Macaca mulatta: one gene and its partner. The protein of the gene in region 2 binds, or shares a complex with, the protein of the main gene of each other region. Links are inferred from orthologs where the notes say so. Each region holds a gene or a part of one and is shown on either strand. Other genes may lie near its edges. The genes, in order: TMEM237 and CEP290.

The links.
Region 1: CEP290 (region 2) and TMEM237 share a complex: the UniProt entries of both Homo sapiens proteins name them as parts of the tectonic-like complex. The link is inferred for Macaca mulatta from reciprocal best matches to the Homo sapiens genes CEP290 and TMEM237.

Annotation. Positions count from the first base shown.
Region 1 is NC_133417.1:106,771,671-106,782,269, forward strand, and holds part of TMEM237 (transmembrane protein 237), read right to left. Parts: intron 9,957-10,599; coding exon 9,836-9,956; intron 8,739-9,835; coding exon 8,581-8,738; intron 6,347-8,580; coding exon 6,223-6,346; intron 5,604-6,222; coding exon 5,412-5,603; intron 4,339-5,411; coding exon 4,265-4,338; intron 3,609-4,264; coding exon 3,515-3,608; intron 2,338-3,514; coding exon 2,216-2,337; intron 810-2,215; coding exon 742-809; 3' UTR 1-741. UniProt on the Homo sapiens protein: Component of the transition zone in primary cilia. Required for ciliogenesis.
Region 2 is NC_133416.1:95,326,816-95,337,414, reverse strand, and holds part of CEP290 (centrosomal protein of 290 kDa), read left to right. Parts: intron 1-1,000; coding exon 1,001-1,456; intron 1,457-2,541; coding exon 2,542-2,706; intron 2,707-3,710; coding exon 3,711-3,818; intron 3,819-4,034; coding exon 4,035-4,169; intron 4,170-5,364; coding exon 5,365-5,631; intron 5,632-6,258; coding exon 6,259-6,366; intron 6,367-6,985; coding exon 6,986-7,185; intron 7,186-9,861; coding exon 9,862-10,075; intron 10,076-10,599. UniProt on the Homo sapiens protein: Involved in early and late steps in cilia formation. Its association with CCP110 is required for inhibition of primary cilia formation by CCP110.

The DNA of each region.
Region 1 (10,599 bases), on a different chromosome or scaffold from region 2:
CAAGCTCACAGGTCTCTCCTTTATTCCCGAGTCTTGCCCTGCTCAGCCTCTTTTACTACATAGATTTTTTAAAAGCTCCCTCTATGATCCTGATGTACAACCAGATATGAGAACCAGTAGTACAAATTATAGTAAGAAGCAACTTTTTAGTTACTTCTAGGTAAAAATTTTACGTTATAAAATTCTTCAAACAGAAGATACATTCCCTTTTTATTGGCCATGATGTAAAGCATCTTTAAAGCTAAATTATAATTATTACATGATACTCAATCACTAAGCCAGTTTCAGAAAAGATAAATTTCATATTTCAATTTATTCAGTAAGGGGAGGTCAAAAATGAAGGCTTTTTTCCCCTTCTACCATATTCACTAAATTTATGTTTAAACTTGATATATATTTTATAACACTATTTAAGTTATGGCTTTTTCTCAACCAGTGCTTTTTTAAGATAATAGTTATAAATACAACTGTTTTGAGAAAATAGGAAATAAACACTTTCACTTGCTGGTTTCTAGTTCATTATTCCCTTTGTCATTAAGATGATAATGCTATACAAATTAATATTTGGACATAAATAACAAATACAATTTTAACATTTTTCATAGTATTGAGAGATGTTTCAGTATTATATAATCAAAAAAAATCTATTACAAATACACATGTATACATCTTATAAAAATACATTTAAAAACAAAAGTGGGACAAATACTGAGTCACTATTCTTCCAAAGGTTAGCTGGTATTATGAAGAGGCTTTGATTTCTTTATCTTTATCAGGATATTCTTCCACCTCTGAGGAGAACATTAACTCTGGAGAAGAAAATGAACAGATCATAAAATTGTTTCCCAGTGCCTCCAACAGAGTTGTATAGCTTATTTATAGTCTTTTAAAAATTGACATAGAAAGCCCTCAATAGATTTCTTGACAGTGAAATCTGATTTCAAAGGTAAGCTGATAACAAATGTACAAGTTTTACATTTTAAAATATTTAAATTTTAAATTATGAACCCCTTAAAAGTAAAACATAATAGGGACAATATACAAAATCCTACCTGGAAATTTAAGTCACTTAGATAATCAAAGATCATTAAACAGCTAAAAGGTCTAATTCTACAGTGATGAGATCATCTAAAATATAGGGGACAGATACAGAGGAAGGACCTAGAACTAACAAGAGATATGTGCCAGGATAGTTTAAATGGGTCATCCCATTTCATCATCAAAACAACCCAATAAGCCAGGTATTATCACTCATTTTATACTTACTTTTAAAATCTACATGTTGTATGACTAACATGGCCTTAAAAGAACAGGATTCTGGAAATACTAAGTAACACACACTTTATGATTTAGACTGAATACTGCAAAATCCAGATGCAGTTTTGATGCCAACCACAATGTAGAATGTTATTAGCTGACATTTTCTACATTTAAACTATTACTTAGCATAGATGTTGGCGAAATTCTCCATGCTAAGGCTTCTGAGGCAGATGGGTTGTAAATAGTTGATCAAATCAAAAATAAAGTAATAACCAAGGTCGAGAAAATATCCATAAAAGATGTTCAAGGGTCAAACTGTTGAACACTGCCCAAGGAAACACAATTTACAATACAAATACTAAAAAGTTCCTCAAGTAGCATAAAAGTTTAGCAGTTCGCTAATATGATGATTCTTCTTCAGGTGTTCCAGAAGGGGTCTGGGAACTAGAGATGAGTGAATCACTGCACACTGAGCATGTTAAAAGTAAGAGTACTAAACACTGTGTTAGACAATGAAGAGTTACGAATTTGTACCAAATAGAGGAGGTAAGAATAATTAACTTGAGTATGTGTCTGACAGAAAGGCTATGTAGACGAAGCATGATTTATTTCAAAATTAAGAGATACTTTCATCAGCAGGAAACTAAGAGAAGTAAAGAGCAAAGACTTTTTCTAAATTACTTGAAGGGTTCCAAGAGAAGAAATACCTCCTGAATATGCACAAGGGCCACAGACGCCCCTCACTAAGTAGTTCCAGACTCCAGCCCTCCTAGGCACTCCTCCCTGCTTCTCTTGGCATTCTGTTACACCACTTTATTTTCTCTCTGCTTGTATTATTTTAATTTAAATGTGTCTTTGTGATTGGAATATTATAAGCTATACATATTAAAAGGAGGTTTATAAAACCATTATAGAAGATTTCAGGATATTCTTATACTATTTTTTTCTTTAATACCTTCACTAAGATCCATGCCTGGCCTATAAGACAAAAATAGCCAAGATAATCCAACCAGCAGAGCCACCACGAGATTCACCACAATCCATGGCTGGAGAATCTGTTCCTCAATTCCTGCTTCCCTAAAAAGGTAGAAATACTCATTAGAAGTACCTTCAGTTTGGTTCATATATACAAATATATCTATTTTAGGAACTTCAAGAAAAAACAGCAGTCATCTCCTAGAGAAATAACAAGTAAAGCGTGAAAGAAAATATAATTTCCCTGTAAAATATACCACATATATAATGAGAACAAGGGTTCAAAGGTTAAACTCTAAACAGATCTGCTCTATACATTCATATAAATGCAACGTTAGTATTCCCAAGAAAATTTTCTAAAAGTTTTCCTTCCAACTACCATGACATTACTCATCAATAAAGTATATTTGCTTTTTCTTTACCTAATGTCCCTAGCCACTCTCTCAAAAAAGACTACTTTTGGATGCCACATTCAGCATTTGGGGGAAAAAAAAAGATTGCTTCTCTGAGTTTAATGAACTAGAATCTCAGCTATCCTGTCAACTTCATGGCTGGCCACCGATCTGCAGATGTTGGCTCTCCCTATTCTGCTCTTTCTAGCATTGCTTGGTTTTCTGAATCTATCCCAGCTACTCACTCCTATCACTGTTCTGGGGTATGAAACTCTCTGATAGTGGGTAAGAATGCAGGGCTCCTTCCGTCCATCATATGATGACTTATTGTAAAACTATAACTTGGCTGGGCGCAGTGGCTCACACCTATAATCCCAATACTCTGGGAGGCCAAGGCAGGTGGATCACCTGAGATGAGAAGTTTAAGACCAGCCTGGCCAACATGGTGAAACCCCATTTCTATAAAAATACAAAAATTAGCCAGGCGGGTGCCTAAGTAATCCCAGCTACTCGGGAGGCTAAGGCTGCAGAATCGCTTGAACCCAGGAGGCGGTGGTTGCAGTGAGCCGAGATAGAGCCATTGCACTCCAGCCTGGGTGACAAAGCGAGACTCCATCTTAAAAAACAACAACAACAACAACAGCAACAAACAAGAAAAAACTATAACTTGAAGATCTAAAACAGATTTTTAAAAGGAAGATATTTCTTTAAAAATGCAGGTGAATATAACAATAGTTACCCATTAACCAAAGGAATAAGTATTTTCTTGCCATAGATTTGGAAACAAAAACAGAGCCTTCATTATTTGTAGATGAAAAAGAATGGAAGGATACGAAAAATTGCTGTTATTGCCATTAACAATTGCTAATGTCATTGTGAATTCTTACCAGAGGCTACCATTAACAGAAGAAGGTGTGTAAAGGTGGATTCTGTCACTTGTCATTTGCTGACTCAGAGATAGTATAAGAGCAGTAAAGTACACTGAAAAAAAGATAAATGAAATTACTAATAATTTTTAACAACCTGGTTTATTTTGAATTTATAGATTAATATCGAAAATAATCTGTACTTTGGTGACTGATATAAAAGAAATTTATTTTACCAAATAAACATATTTCAATAGGCCAGATATCCTTATATAAATTTTTGAGAACAACAGGTGCAGAAGGATCTTTTGAGACATTCACTGTTTCATCATTAGAACTGACAAGAACCTAGATCTTTTGAAAAGTTAAATGACTTGCTCAAGGTCCTAAAATTAGTTTTATTAATATTCTCAAAACTTAGAACAAAATGCATTCCAAATAATCAGAAAGATATAAAATACTGTTTGTTATTAAAAGGCTGTACCATCTGAATCTGTTTAATGTCAAGTAGAAAATACAAAAGTTAAAAAGTAAGTAATATAGTACAATAAATTAAGCTTTTCAAAGTTATTCAGATGAACCTCTATTGAAAAATAATTCTATCAACATTATGCCTATTATGTTTCTAATTACAAATTCACTGACCATCTATAGGTAATGTTTATAAGGAGCAGTAATACAACTTTAAAAAAAAAATTAACATTTTTCCTGGTTCAAAATTATGGTATAACTCAAGTATTACACAGTTACCAAGTTAAACTGTTTACTCACAGAAAGATGCTAAAGTTGTAGGATCCAGGGCCAAAAAATTTCGGATTGCTACTGACATTTTAGCAAAGTCAATCCTAGAAAATATAAAAGCTTCTTGTCACAGTGCAGTTGTAAACTTTTTAACAAAACTTTACTTTCTTGACAATAGTTTTTTCCTTCTCTATTCTAATGCTACCACATATACTATTACTAGGTTTTAAGTAGCTACAGTGTATATATAACACATATGACAAAATTATCTTATTTACAAAGGCCACATAAAACATCTAACTAGACTACTTTGGACAACATTCCTTTGGGGTTAAGACATTCTAAAGAAACTTAAACTTGATAAACAAAATTTCATTAGTTTCTACCTCTTTCTATTGCCCATATCATTAGGCTCTAATTAGGTGGGTTTTTTTTTTTTAAACGGGTTAAATTGTGTTCCCAAAAAGATATGTTGAACTAACCTGGAGTACTTATGAATTGACCTTATTTGGAAGCAGGGTCTTTGCAGATGTAATAAAGTTAAGATAAGGTCATTAGGATGAACCCTAATCCAGTATGACTGGTGTCCTTATTAGAAGAGATATAGATACAGAGATACACAGGGGTAAAGCGCTGTGTGACGATAGAGGCAAATATTGGAATGATGCATCTACAGCCAAGGATTGTCAGCAACCACTGGAAGTGAGGGGAAGGGCATGAAACAGACTCTCCCTCAGAGCCCTCGAAAAAGAATTCAACCCTGGCCACATCCTGATTGCAGACTGCTCACCTCCAGACCCGCGAGAGAATAAATGTGCTGTTTTCAGCCAGCCAGTGTGTGGTACTTTGTTACAGCAGTGCTGGGAGACAAATACAAATGCTCTGAGTCTTACCTATACCTGATTTAGATGATATTTAGGAACTTCTGAGTTGACTACATTTGGATGAAATTTTGGACTTATGAACTGATGCTGGAATGGGTGAAGTCTTTTGGGAATATTTTGTTTACAACAGTCTCATCCCCTCAAAAAAGAACAGAAGTAGACTGGCCTTAAAACTTTTTGAAGTAATATTGATACTCTATAATTCTATTTTGAAAACTGTCATGGTCAGTGACACATTTTGCTCAGCATTTCCTTCTGAAGAAGTTAGACAGATCTGGAGTCACAGGCATTACCTGTCAAAAGCTGAAATTGTACTCAGAGCCAAAAGCAAGTACAGAAGACTCTGGAATGGATACGCTAGAGTCTTGTATTGTTGCAGAAGGTTTGAGAGGTTGGATAGCTGATCTCCTGCTAGAACATATATCACAACAATATTCCACACAGCACAGCCAGCCAAGAATCCATGAGAAAAGAGACCAATCATCCTGAATGGTAAAGGGTTTGATTATTATACATGAATTACTAAAGTAAAAAGCTAAAACATGTTTAAAATCTCTTCATATACAAGAATAAAATTCAACATTTCATGACAAGTAAAAGCAAGCTCTTTCTTTTTAGTTACACTGATAGGTAGATCATTCAATTCCAATAGGATGTTTAAAAAATACACCTACCGGCCGGGCGCGGTGGCTCAAGCCTGTAATCCCAGCACTTTGGGAGGCCGAGACGGGCGGATCACGAGGTCAGGAGATCAAGACCATCCTGGTTAACATGGTGAAACCCCGTCTCTACTAAAAAATACAAAAAACTAGCCGGGCGAGGTGGCGGGCGTCTCTAGTCCCAGCTACTCGGGAGGCTGAGACGAGAATGGAGTAAACCCGGGAGGTGGAGCTTGCAGTGAGCTGAGATCCGGCCACTGCACTCCAGCCTGGGCTACAGAGCGAGACTCCGTCTCAAAAAAAAAAAAAAAAAAAAAATACACCTACCTACCATTTTAAGTGGTCATTTCGTTAACCATATTGAACAACCAATAGGCTATTTTTTTCTTTAATTACGGAACTCAGTTAACATTTGTTTTAAGAAAAGTCCAACAAAAGCAGCCACCTGAAAGCCCGGTGCACCGTAAGTGCCACATCTCTGGTGGTCCAGGAAGGCTTCATGTCCATTGACACATCTATGTTTTCTGTGGTCTTTATCAACTCTGAACGGTCAGCAGCCTGGAATCTCCCTAAGAACACATAATGTAATTACTAACAACTAGGGAGAGAGAACCCTGGTAGCCCTTTCTTTTTTTCTTTTTTTTTTTTTTTTTTTTTTTAATTCCACACTCAGGAAGCTGCAAACTAAGACTGAAATATTGCTGTTCTATCTGAAAATTCTCCTTGACTCAGCACCTATTTCAGAAAGATCTTTACTTTGGGTTCCTTAAACATAATTTTTCATCTTGAAGAAAAATAAGCAATGTCAGTGTATTTTCTTCTCAATCCAAAGTGAAGTAACAATTTCAGAAATCAATTATATTTAATAAAAAATAATGAACTTTCAACCAGAATAAAGTCTAGAAACCTTTAACATGACCTAGTCTACAAAATTCTAATTTAGAGACTTTAGAAGTATTAAAGTTTATATGCCTATACTACCAAGGTAAGTCAATATTTGAAAACTACTTTAAATTTCTTAGAAAAAGATGTCAGGATGTGTAGCATGGCTTTCTGGGATGACAGGAAAGAAATGGGCTGCTTCATAAATTTCTCTTTAGAACATTCCTGTGAAGAACATCAGTTCAAGAGTCAGCACTGCAATATTGTATGAGCAGGGCTTTAGCCTTTTTACTGTTGATTCAGAGGCTCCTTCCTGTATATCTAGTAATCCACAAATAGACATCAGGAAGCAGGAAAGGTTCCATTTCAATTATCCTCACCAAACCCAGTTCGCAGGTGTTTTGGAGGATGAAAGACAGGGGTGTGACAATTTTCCCTAAGAAAAGACAACTTCTGGGCAGACAGTAGAACCACTGGTGCCTTTTATGGCCAGTTATGGCCAGTTACTCTAGCAGGGAAATTTCTATGCTAAGTGAAATAAGAATAAAAATGAGGATTAAGTGATACTGCTTGAAAAAGAACTGGAGTAAATTAAATGGCCACATGGTAGATGAATAAAACCACATGACTAGAAGTCATAAAACCACAGTTCAAGTCCCAGTTCCACCCTAACCAACTGTGAGACACTGGGTAAGTCAGCCAGAGACCACAGGTTTCTTATTGGCCAAGAACTGCAAGATCCTTTAGATGGGATCTTATGAAGTAGAGTTCTAAAACAATGTAGACAAAATCTAAATTGTAAATTTTAAGGACTAACCTTTATGTTTTAGATGAGTTCTTTAGGCAGCATATCCTTAACATATCCATGGTAGTATACAGTCATGATCACGCTTTGAGTAGGTTTTTCTTAAACACTGTGTTATAGACTGAATGTGTCCCCCAAAAATTCATATGTTGAAGCCCTAACCCCCCAGTGAGTGTGAGGTCACTGGGAGGTAATTAGATTTTGATGAAGTCATGAGGACGAAGCTCCCATGATGAGACTAGTGTCTTTTTAAGCAGAGGAAGACACACCAGAACTCTCTCTGCCACATGACAACACAGTGGCAGCCACTGGCAAGCCAGGAAGGGGCCTTCTCCAGTAACCGGATCTGCTGGAACCTTGTCTTGGACGTCCTAGCTTTAGGAACGGTGAGAAATAAATGTCTGTGGTTTAAGTCACTCAGTCCGTGGTATTTTGTTATAGCAGCCTGAGCTAAAATACACTACAAACCTAGTCTCGTAGCCAGTATACATTATACAATGTCAGCACTATTTTCCAAAAGAATATACAGCTATAATGTTGTATTTCTTATTTAATATGATAGTATCATCATGTATTTTCTCTCTAATTTTCAGATGTAGAATTTATATCATTATCTGTCCCACCACAACTACTACCAATTGCAGGAAGCTGGTAAAGTACAAGAAAGAATAAAGAATCAGGCAGGGGTGGGGAAGATCTTTACATTACCCATAACCCCATAAATCCAGAAACAACCAGCATTAATATTTGAGCCTATTTCCTTCAAGTCTTTTGTCCTATGTATAGATCAAACTCTGTGTGTGTGTACACATGTGTACATGCTCTTTTATCAGAATCTTTCCATAAAATGAAAAATTCTCCCTAAACATGATATTTAATGGTGAAGAATATTATTATATAGATACACCACAACTTACTGAAATCATTCCTCTCCTATTTCACATTTAGGTTGTTTCCAGTTTTTCACTCTCATGAATCATAGCATGATGACTAGTTTTGTGTATAAATTGTTGTACATAGTTTTGCTTAATTCCTTAATTCAGATTTCCAGAAGTATAAAGGATATCCTTGTACAATTTTTAAGAGTTCATATTCTAAAACAAGGCATCTACTTACGGCTTTTTTCCACAAATACTTTGCCTACAGGCTGGCTAATGCCAGTGGGTGCAGTGAATACAGACTGCTGTTCCAGAGTAGTTTGCTCATCAGTGATAATGTCTTCATCTTCTACTCCTAGCTCATTGGCATACTGTAATTCTGCTGGTTGGGTTTTCCTGTAATAAAGAAGTATATATGAAAAATGGATGATTATTGAATACTCACAGACTTACATACGGAACTAGCTATAAATATAATGGAAAGAGCCCTGGACTTGGAGTTAAGAAATTTGATTTTTACTCAAATAAATCTGTTATTAACTATTATGTGCAGCAAGTCACTTACATTTCTGAGGGCTTCAGTTTTCTCATTTGAAAATTGAAGTGACTGAACTAATCTGTAAGCTTCTTTCCAAATTTAAAATTGTATGATTCTCTGTAGACACTGATATGATTTAGCTATGTCCCCACCCAAAATTTCATGTTAAATTGTAAGAATCCCCACCTGTCAAGGGACTGTTCTGGTGATAGTGAGTTCTCAGGAGATCTGATCATTTTGTAAGGGGCTTCCCCCTTCACTCAGCTCTAATTCTTCTCCTTCCTGCTGCCCTGTGAAGAAGGGCATGTTTGCTTCACCTTCCACCATGATTGTAAGTTTCCTGAGGCCCCCCCAGTCATGCTGAACTGTGAGCCAATTAAACCTCTTTCCTTTATAAATTACCCAGTCTCAGGTATGTCTTTATTAGTGTTGTGAGAACGGACTAACACAGACATTGATCACTATTTGTAGGTTCATTTTCAAATACAAACAATAGTGCTATATATATGCCTTCCAGTGTTATTTCTTTAAAGTATACTTTACTCATTTTATCTTAATGCTAAAACACAGTTTTACTTATTGCTGAGATAATCATAGTTTGAATTCTGTTAACATAAGAAAATAAATCATAATAGCCTATTTCATTATCTTTAATTTTTAAATATCCTTAATGTTTAATTTTGCTACTTATATATTCTATTTGTGTTCCTCTTTTTAAGAGATGGCTCTGAAGTTTTTTTATTTAAGTACAATCTTAATTTTTTAAATTTTCTCAGTGGTTTACTCTTCTCAAATTTATCATTAGATTGGTTTAACTGATTTTTTGTAATAATACTTACCCTAGAGGTACACAAATACAAGTATGTAATAAGACTTAATGAGAAGCTACTGTCTGGGAACTCCAAACAAAGCATCAGGGTAATCCTGGAGAATAGTTAGAAAAATAAATTCTTACTTTGTCTTCCTCCGAGGTTTTTGAATAACTGCCTCCTCAGCTGGCTCTGCATCAATACCATTTTCATTTCGTAATAAAGATGAACTAGATGCCTTATTTTGAGTGGAGGAAATCTCCAATTCTGAAAACAAATAAATTTAACTTTTCAAATAACTAAAACAGAAAAAGAAAAGTAATATACAAGACTTGTATAAGAGAAAAGAACTTCAAGAATTTTAATTGGGCAAAAATATTTTCACTATCTTACAAATTTTTAATGTCTAAAAAATGTTATACTTCTAAACTTCTAATGTAAAAATTGAAATTGTAATGCCAAACAATATGAAAAAAAATTAAGTAACCCAACACCCAGGCTGTGTTGAAGATTCCCAAGATTATCTCCAGGTTCGCTGACTTTCTAGAAGTGCTCACAGGACTTGGAAATCATCACACTCACAATTATGGTATACTACAGCAAATGAATATAAAGCAAAATCAGCAAAAGGAAAAAGCACATGGACCAAGTCCAGAGGAAACCAAGTACAAGCTTCCAAGAGTCCTCTATCAGTGGAGTCAAATAGGATGCACTAATCTCTCCAGTAAAGAGTTGTGACAACACATGTGACACATGTTCTACAAGGGAAGTTCATCAGAGACAGTATCCAAGGTTAGGGGCTAGTCACATAAGCTTAGCACATACCAAAATTCTGGATGCCCAGAAGGGAAGCAGATGTTCAGCAAAAATCACTTTGTATGCACAAATGCACAGTGAGCCACCTTATAAT
Region 2 (10,599 bases):
GTAGAGACAGGGTTTCACTATGTTGCCTAGGGTGGTCTCGAACTCCTAGACTGAAAAGATCTACCCACCTTGGCTTCCCAAAATACTGGGATTACAGGTGTGGGCCATCATGCTGGGCCAGTGTTACATTTTTAATCAAAAGATATAGCAACCAGAGGCTGTTATTCTTGTTAGTTGTAACCTGATTAGAAAACTCTGTAATTTGAAGTATTGTTCAGTAATCCAGTACAGCATTTAAATGCCTATAGATGAATTACGCTGCTGATCAAAATTAGGACGCTGAGAAAAAGTACTAGGAAGTTATTAGTACATCTTTAATAACAATATTTTCTCTTGTATTTATATGTAACTTTTCACGTATTCTTACATTATGTATGTTGGGAATTATAAAAACGTACCCTTTGTCTGAATCAGTATTATGTTATTTGCAATGGAAGTTAAAAAAACAGTAGCAGCCAGGCACGGTGGCTCACAGCTGTAATCCGAGCACTCTGGGAGGCCCAGTCAGGCAGATCACGAGGTCAGGAGTTTGAGACCAGCCTGACCAATATGGTGAAACCCCGTCCGTACTAAAAATATAAAAATACAAAAATTCGCCAGGCATGGTGGCACATGCCTGTAATCTGAGCTTCCCAGGAGGCTGAGGCAGGAGAATTGCTTGAACCCGGGAGGCGGAAGTTGCAGTGAGCCGAAATCGCGCCATTGCACTCCAGTCTGGGTGACAGAGCGAGACTCCATCTCAAAAAAAAAAAAAAAAAAAAACCCAGTAACATACCCACTGTTATTTAGTTACATTTGGATTTTAAGTTTGTTTGATTCTAGGTTTTTTCTTTTACAATTCTTTGGTAATTATTTGTATTAAAGCAAAGTTACATTTTTGTAGATCTCATGTGCCACTGTGTTAACACTTTATTTAGTAAATTGTGATTTTTAAATCTGTGATAACCTTCATTGGAAAAATTTGAAACTTACTACAAATATATATTTTTTTAAATATTAGGCACAGTCTGATGAAAAGGCATTGATTGCCAAGTTGCACCAACATAATGTCTCTCTTCAACTTAGTGAGGCTACTGCTCTTGGTAAGTTGGAGTCAATTACGTCTAAACTGCAGAAGATGGAGGCCTACAATATGCGCTTAGAGCAGAAACTTGATGAAAAAGAACAGGCTCTCTATTATGCTCGTTTGGAGGGGAGAAACAGAGCAAAACATCTGCGCCAAACAATTCAGTCTCTACGACGACAGTTTAGTGGAGCTTTACCCTTGGCCCAACAGGAAAAGTTCTCTAAAACAATGATTCAGCTACAAAATGACAAACTTAAGATAATGCAAGAAATGAAAAATTCTCAACAAGAACATAGAAATATGGAGAACAAAACATTGGAGATGGAATTGAAATTAAAGGGCCTGGAAGAGTTAATAAGCACTTTAAAGGATACCAAAGGAGCCCAAAAGGTAAACATTTAAACTTGATTTTTTTTTTTAAGAGACAGGGTCTTGATCTGTTTCCCAGGCTGGAGTGTAGTGTTGCAAACATAGCTGGAACTCCTAGGCTCAACTGATTCTCCAGCCTCAACCTCCTGAGTAGTTGTAGCTGGGAGTACAGGGCACCACACCATACCTACCTATTTTTAAAAAAATTTAAAGTTTTTTTGTAGAGACAGGGTCTCACTTTGTCACCCAGGCTGGCCTCGAACTCCTGGCTTCAAGTAATCCTCCTGCTTTGGTCTCTCAAAGTGCTGAGATTACAGTCATGAGCCACTGTGCCCAGCCAATTTTAAATTCATTATCTTCAAAGAGTTACGTGATAATTTCTTAATATGTGCCTATATGAAAAATGCGTAAGATACAATTAAATTCCAATTATGATTCATTAATTTAGATTTTACAACTTAGCAGTGTTGGCTGTTTGAATGTCTATTATTTGTAAAAATAAAATTAGGCTTTTCTAACCAAAGATTTTAGTGGGAATGTTCAGATTGTATAATAGCAAAGAATTTTAAATACTGTAGACAAATTTCTATTAATTAAACACTAATTATTCTTAAACATTGTAGTAGTTATCAGTTGATTTCTACTGTTCATAATTATCTTTGATCTACAATTAGTGAGCCCACATTTATTTTTAATATGGTTTTATCTTCATTTAGAAATAATTAAATGAAAAGTAATTATCTTTCAACTACATCCTATTCGCTAGGCTAGAAACATTTAGGATTTCTGTTTTTGAAAGTGATATCAAAGTTTCAATGACCTGCTTATAGTCAGTGTTCAATAAACATATAACAGAAGAAAGTGAATATTAGTGATATCCATTCCAACATAATTTGAAGATTTTTATTGTAAAATCCCACATATTTGTAGAAATGTCTATGGAAATCCTAAATAAAATTTTGTCAGGTAGCTTGAGAAAAGATAACATTGTGTCTTGTTTTATTTTAGAATGCCCATTACTTTCAATTAAAATCATTATCATCAATGGAGGAATGTTATTTGTTGACATAGCATTTACATTTGTATATATAAATTGTAAATCTTAGGTAATCAACTGGCATATGAAAATAGAAGAACTTCGTCTTCAAGAACTTAAACTAAATCGAGAATTAGTCAAGGATAAAGAAGAAATAAAGTATTTGAATAATATAATTTCTGAATATGAACGTACAATCAGCAGTCTTGAAGAAGAAATTGTGCAGCAGAACAAGGTTTTATTTTATATTTATTTTGTTTTTTTCCTAAGATTTTAAGCAAGAATATTGCACTAGTGACTATGTTATTCTTCTAATTAAGTGTACTTTCCATTACTAATTGATTATGTAATAATTTGTTTTTTATTTTCTAAACTATTCTAAAAATTCATATTTATTTAATTTTTATAACAGTAGTCTTAATCTTAAAAAGAGCAATACATAAGCAACCTCATTTGGTAAGTTAATTTTTATTTTGGTATTGGTTATTTGACTTTTCACAGTTTCACGTTTCTACTGGCTCTCACTGATAGAGTAAGAAGGCAGCTTGTTATAGAATAAAGTATATGCTTCAGAGACAGATGAAATTCATCAAACATATGACTGTCTCAGAGATTGTTCCCTCTGCTTAAATTGTTCTTAGCCTAGATACCTTTGGTATTTACACTTTCAGTGCCCGCAAGTCTTGGCTTAAATGTCTTACCTTATCAGTGTGTCCTTCAACAGCCACCTAATATACAACAGTAAATCCTACTATCAAGATTCCCTTGAGATTAATTAACTTAATTTTTCTCCATAGCGCTTGTAACCTTCTGACATATTACCTACTTACTTTTTTATTGTTGTCTGTCTTTCCTTCACTAGAATGTAAGTTCCCTGGTGACAGGGATTTGGTTTTGTTTACTGCTATATTTGCACTGCCTAGAATGATGCTTGGCACATGATATATATCATTAAATATCTTTTGCATAGCTGGATGCATGGATGCATGGATGGATGGATGGATGGATGGATGGATGGATGGATGGAGAGATTGAAATCCTTACTTCACATCTGCCTTTCTCTGTGATCTTACACAAGTTACTTCACCTCTCTGAGTTTGTATTTTTTTCCACAAAAGGAAAATAATTACAGTATCTTCAATGTGTTGTGAGGATTACATAAGAAAATATATATAAAATGCCTGTTATGTGCCTGATGTCTTTGTATATATGTCTGACATAAATTGTCTTTCTTTTTAGTTTCATGAAGAAAGACAACTGGCCTGGGATCAAAGAGAAGTTGACCTGGAACGTCAACTAGACATTTTTGACCGTCAGCAAAATGAAATACTAAATGCAGCACAAAAGGTATGAATGATGAATCTTGTTTGCTACTCTGTAGCATAGACTAGAGGGTTAGCTCACAGAAATGATTCCTGTATCAGATGTAATTTTAATTGGTTGTTATATTGTCTATTTAAAATATGAGTGATTTAATCTATATTTTATCATACAGCTATAAATATTAATAGTTACTCTCAATGCTGCCACTGCTTTGTTAAAAAACATACTATTTGTTAATAGTTTGAAGAAGCTACAGGATCAATCCCTGACCCTAGTTTGCCCCTTCCAAATCAACTTGAGATGGCGCTAAGAAAAATTAAGGAGAATATTCGAATAATCCTAGAAACACGGGCAACTTGCAGATCACTAGAAGAGGTAATTAGAAGAATTTGCATTTTGATTATTACTTGGTATTATTTGGTATGTTTGGGGGGCTTTCTAAATAATATTTCTTTATGAGGACAATGCATAGAATGATGAATCTCTTGCTAATTTCACTGTTTTTCTATTCTCCTATAATGTTTCTAATAGCTGATAATGAACAGCAGATATAGTTAATTTGAATTCACTATTTAATTACTTCCTGTTACCTTTAGGTACACTGAATATGAAAGGAAACAAAAAGCATTTAATTGTAGCTCTATGAGCAGTATATTATCTTCCCTTATATGATCTCTTTATTCTTATTTTTTTGGTTTTCCTTTGAAGTGCATGTTATATAATCTATGAATCAGTTTTCAGTTCATTCCCTTTTATAAACTTCAGCCCTTTAAAGGGCTGAAGGTAAATTAGAAATTACTTTCTGTTTTAACCTAGTTCTTGAATTTGATTAGTAGGTGATCAAATCTGTCATCTGCATTAAATTATTCAGAAAATAATGTAAACTGAATATGATTTTCATTTTAGTTTTCATCTAAATATATTAACTACAAATACATTTAAAAATATACATAAAGGAGTTTTCAAGTAAAACTGTACATTTTTAAGTAAAACTTAGATCTTCTTCAGTAATTGTAAGATTTGTCATTTATGTGAATTGCCATTGAATTACTTAATTTAAAATACCCACCTTAATCCTCTTGAAGAGTAAAAATGTTTCTGATTTTTTCTCTTTTGTTTTAATAAGCTGCAGATTTTATAATAGTAATTTATTGACTTGGGCCACTAAAATTCCAGTTTTGTACTTAACTGACTTATAGATTAGTCTTCTAATGCTCTGCTAGTCAATGGACCAAAATAAAAGAAATAATTTATTACATATTCTTCCTAAATCTCATACCACCACACTTTTATAGTTCTTAACTGTAATATCTTGATAAAGTACCTTAATTAAATTTTATTTTCATCATAACAATGAAGTTTCTAACATATGTAATATTCTTATAAATAAGCATGCAAATAACTGTTGTCAATTAGAATTAGTTTAACCTTATTAAATATCAAATGGCTATTGTACATATGATGTGAAAAATAAAGTGAATTTTTTTTTTTTTTTGCTAATAACTAATCTAAAATTCAGATGAAGGAAAAAAAGATACTTTAATTATCTATTGTGATTTAATCATTGCAGAAACTGAAAGAGAAAGAATCTGCTTTAAGGTTAGCAGAACAAAATATACTGTCAAGAGACAAAGTAATCAATGAACTGAGGCTTCGATTGCCTGCCACTGCAGAAAGAGAAAAGCTCATAGCTGAGCTAGGGAGAAAAGAGATGGAACCAAAATCTCACCACACTTTGAAAATTGCTCATCAAACCATTGCAAACATGCAAGCAAGGTTAAATCAAAAAGAAGAAGTATTAAAGAAGTATCAACATCTTCTAGAAAAAGCCAGAGAGGTATTTTATTATGAGTTATACTGTTTCATGTATTAGTTTTTTTAAGCAAATGCTAAATATTTTACCTTAAAGTGGTAGTTATTTTCTTGCTTTCAAATGATTCTATTTAAGAACTGTGACTTGCATGTGATTGGATTACACCTCTATCAGTAAAACTGGCAGTTTGTGTAAATGTATCTCTCTTATACACTGACTAACTAAACCAGGAGTAGCTATCATGGTGAAATCACATGATTTTGAAAAATATTTTAATTTAGTTTATAGGTGAGGGTTGAGGCAATAGGGGGGAATGAAATATATCACACTGGTAATCAGTAGAAATCAGATTTGTTAGAACTTTGTGGGGGAAAGCTGACATTTAATTTTTTCTAGAAATAAGTTAAAAGATGATAGATACGTGTTATTCTAATGTTCAGAATAAATTATGAACTGAGGCTGGGCCTGTCAACTTGAACACTGTGCGAGGGAACATGCCTACCGGTCTAAATACATACATATATGGAGATACTGTTTCTTCCTCATCTCGAAGGAATTTTAGAAGATTAAAGAGAAAATATATAAGGTCTTCAAAATGTGAATTTATTTTAATCACAATTTAAGATATAGTTTTGATTTTCTTTAAAACAGGAGCAAAGAGAAATTGTGAAGAAACATGAGGAAGACCTTCATATTCTTCATCACAAATTAGAACTACAGGCTGATAGTTCACTAAATAAATTCAAACAAACAGCTTGGGTAAGATTCTAAGAACTTTGTTCCATTCTTTATTGATTTTTAGACCAAATACATTAAAATTCAGTTATCTTCTCCTTTTTTGGAATACAAGTTACGCTTTTTGTTGCCAAAGTAATCTTCTGAAAATGTAGCTCTGATCATTCTTCCTCCTGTAGCTCATCACTGTTCACAAAATTATATTTATACTCCTTACCCATATACTCAATCTTCTATGAACTTACCTGCCTTTCTTTTCAAATTCTATTCACTATAAGTTTACCTATATTTAACTTCCGGAATTCAGCTCATATTTGCCTCTTTTGACCATTCTGTTCCATATGTATGAAATGATGTGTCTTTCATCTTTTAATGTATAACCTTAGCATATTTGAGCCTTACTTCATTAATTCAGTCAACATTTATTGATCTCCTGCTACATGTAGACACTTTGTTAGCTATTGTAAATACAAAGAATAAGGTCTATATTTCCTGTCTTCTTTAAGCCTTCATTATCTGTTAAATCATTAAATTTTAGATTAGATATTGTATTTTGATCATTTGAAGAACCAATTTAAAAATATAGAATAAGTATGGCATTGAAATATACATGCCTGTTTGCTAATATATTCATATTTTATAGGATTTAATGAAACAGTCTCCCACTCCAGTTCCTACCAACAAGCATTTTATTCGTCTGGCTGAGATGGAGCAGACAGTAGCAGAACAAGATGACTCTCTCTCCTCACTCTTGATCAAACTAAAGAAAGTGTCACAAGATTTAGAGAGACAAAGAGAAATCACTGAATTAAAAGTAAAAGAATTTGAAAATATCAAATTACGGTAAGTCTTCAAAATGTATTGTAAAAATAGGCAAATGATAATAATGATATAATGAAGATAAACATAAATGTTTGCTATGCTAGGCACTGTTCTAAGACTTTTAAGTATATTGTCTCATTTTTATCCTCAGGTCTACTGATTACATATGTTATCATTTTCCCCATTTTATAGAGAGGATATGACCTCAGGAATGCTTAATAGCATGCCTGGGAGTAGATGGGAAAGCCATAATTTGAAACTAGTCAGTCTGACTCAAAAGCCAATACAAATTCTTTTCCAGAATCTCATTTTTACCTTATTCAAACCTCAGTTTCATCTTATTTATTTATTTATTTTTATTGTTTTATTTATTTATTTATTTTTTAGAAAAGTCTGGCTCTATTGCCTAGGCTGGAGTGTAGTGGCATAATCTCGGCTCACTGCAACCTTGACCTTCTGGGCTCAAGCTATCTTCCCACCTCAGCCTCCAGAGTAGCTGGCACTACAGGCAGGTGCCACCACACCTGGGTAGTTTTTTGTATTTTTGTGGAGACAGGGTTTCTCCATGTTGCCCAGGCTGGTCTCGAACTCGTGAGTTCAAGTGATCCGCCCACTTCGGCCTCCCAAAGTGCTGGGATTACAGGCCTGAGTCACTGCACTCAGCCTCATCATCTTTAAAATGGAAATAGCAGTACTTACCCTGGCCCTTTCAGGGTGGTTATATGAAGGTCAAATTATACCATGTATGAAAGTAATTTGAAAACTGTCAAATAACATACAGATAAAAAGCTTTTGTTTGCACACTTATAAGAGTGTCTGGCATATAATAGAGATTCTAACATTGTTCAACCAATTTATCAGAACATAGATTTTAAGCTCAAAATAGGTTTATAGTTTCGTAGTTTCTAAACATTGTAGTATTATCTGTATGGGCCTAAATTTTATTATCTGAGAAAACATGAGAAAGTTGAACTACTTGACTTATAATTCCATTTCAGCTCTCAAGCCCCTATTAGAGCCTTTGATTCTTTACACTCTTATTCAAATGCCTATGACAGAATTAACACTATTTTTGCTTTGCTAGGGAGCTGCCACTGTTAAGAAATTACTTTCTAAAAGAAGGAAAATTGGCAGCAGCATATGTGTATTTTCAGTCTCTTTTCCTTGCTCTATTAAATTTTGTACATGAGATGTTATTTTTGGTCTAGTAAATTTCTGTCATGTTTTGGAGTATAAAATGACTTGTGCTTTTGCATCCAATTTGTGGGTGTAGAAAATCATAATCTTTTGAAATACCTTATATAATTTTTTTTTCCACATGAAATACTTGAAGTTATTGTTGTGTACCTTATCATGTCATTGTAGCCCAAAATTGTACTTGTGTTCTCTGTGTGCCTATTTTGATATATATTAGGAAATTATGGATCCGTATGATTACTTAAGTAAAACCTGATATTTTCACAATTTGATGATGACTCTTTAAAGTTAGACTTAAGTTTTGCCAAAAGCAAGAAGCCTCAAAGAATAACATTTGTTCATGTGTTAATGCTATCTCCCTCTTACTGGTCAGAACCTCAGTACGGATGCAGTGTCCATATGCACAACAATATATTAATTCAGTTTAACAGACTTAATGCTGAATGAGCAATAAGATTAATTGAATTAACTAAATCTTTTAATACTATCCACTTCCATATATATATATAGTTACAGATACAATGCTAGTGAATTTGTACCATAAACAAATAAATAATACATGTGATTTCTGTGAAAATTTATATTAGTCTTTTCAATATGTCAATATAGGGCAGTATTTCTCAAATATAGAGGATCAGTTTTTCACAGTTGTACCTCTTGGGGACATTTGACGATGTCTGGAGACATTTTTGATTGTCATGGCTAGGGGGTGCTACTGATATGTAGTGGGTAGAATCAAAAGATGCTACTAATCATCCTATCATACACAAGGCAACCCCACCAACAACAAAGAATCATTCACTCAAAAATGTTACTAGTAGTGTGGTTAGGAAACTATCATATAGAGGAAGCAGTCAAATTTTACAAGAGCCATAGTATCTAAAATGCCCTTTTGTTCATTCTCTATATTATTTGATTAGAGTCACAAAATAATTTGATAAGATTGTTGCCAAAAATATTAGAAACTAGAAGAAAAACGTGTTGTTAAGTTAAAGAGTAGTTAAGTGAAATAAAGAATTACTCTTCTCTGGATTTGGCTGCCTGCATCAAGATTTAGATTGTAAGGATAGTTAGGACTGAACATTTGCCCTGTGTGAAATTTGTATTAATCAAGGTATTAATTGCAGCAACCACTCTATTAATTACATGTTTTTGGCCAGGTGCGGTGGCTCATGCCTCTAATCCCAGCAGTTTGGGTTTATCAGCCGAGGCGGGCTTATCACCTGAGCTCATGCGTTCAAACTGGCCTGGCCAACATAGTGAAACCCCATCTCTGCTAAAAATACAAAAATTTTGGGGGCCTGATGGTGCACACCTGTAGTCCCAGCTACTCAGGAGGCTGAGGCAAAAATATCACTTGAATCTGGGAGGTGTTGGTTGCAGTGAGCCGAGATTGCGCATGTGCACTCCAGCCTGGGCAACAGAGTGAGACTGGGTCTCAAAAAAATTTAAAAAAAAAAGAAACACACACACACACACACATATGTTTATTTACATCAGGCTCCAAGAAAACCATGAAGATGAAGTGAAAAAAGTAAAAGCAGAAGTAGAAGATTTAAGGTATCTTCTGGACCAGTCACAAAAGGAATCACAGTGTTTAAAATCTGAACTTCAGGCTCAAAAAGAAGCAAATTCAAGAGCTCCAACAACTACAATGAGAAATCTAGTAGAACGACTAAAAAGCCAATTAGCCTTGAAAGAGAAACAACAGAAAGTAAGTAACAACAGAAAATTATCAACATTTAGGAAAAATGTGTGGTAGATTGCTTTTAGAGAAGATTTGTAAATTTATAAAAGATGGTAGTATAAATCTCTGTGTTGTAATAAAAAGTATGAGCTTTATCTTATGTTGTTAAACAGGGTCTTTTAGACAATTCTGTTAAATGGCCTTATTAAATGCTGTTTTGGGGGGCAAATATAGTCCAATTTATCTTTTTATGCTGTCAATCTGATTTTTGAATTATCTGTATGAAATGAGGAAAAATCTTAATGTATATTACAAAAATATACATATAATATACATTACATTGTATTTTCTTTTTTTCTACTGGGATTTTTTGCTACTGAGGCTATTTTTAACAAATGAACAATTTCGAACAATTTGAGGGATTGAAGGAAGTATTATAATGACAAAAAGGAAAGATGAAAAAGGGGGTCATAGAGATGGTTTTGTGGGAAGGAGTTGGTCAGTGTATTCTGATTTATTAGGTTTTCAGTTTATCTTAGATTTGATCTATT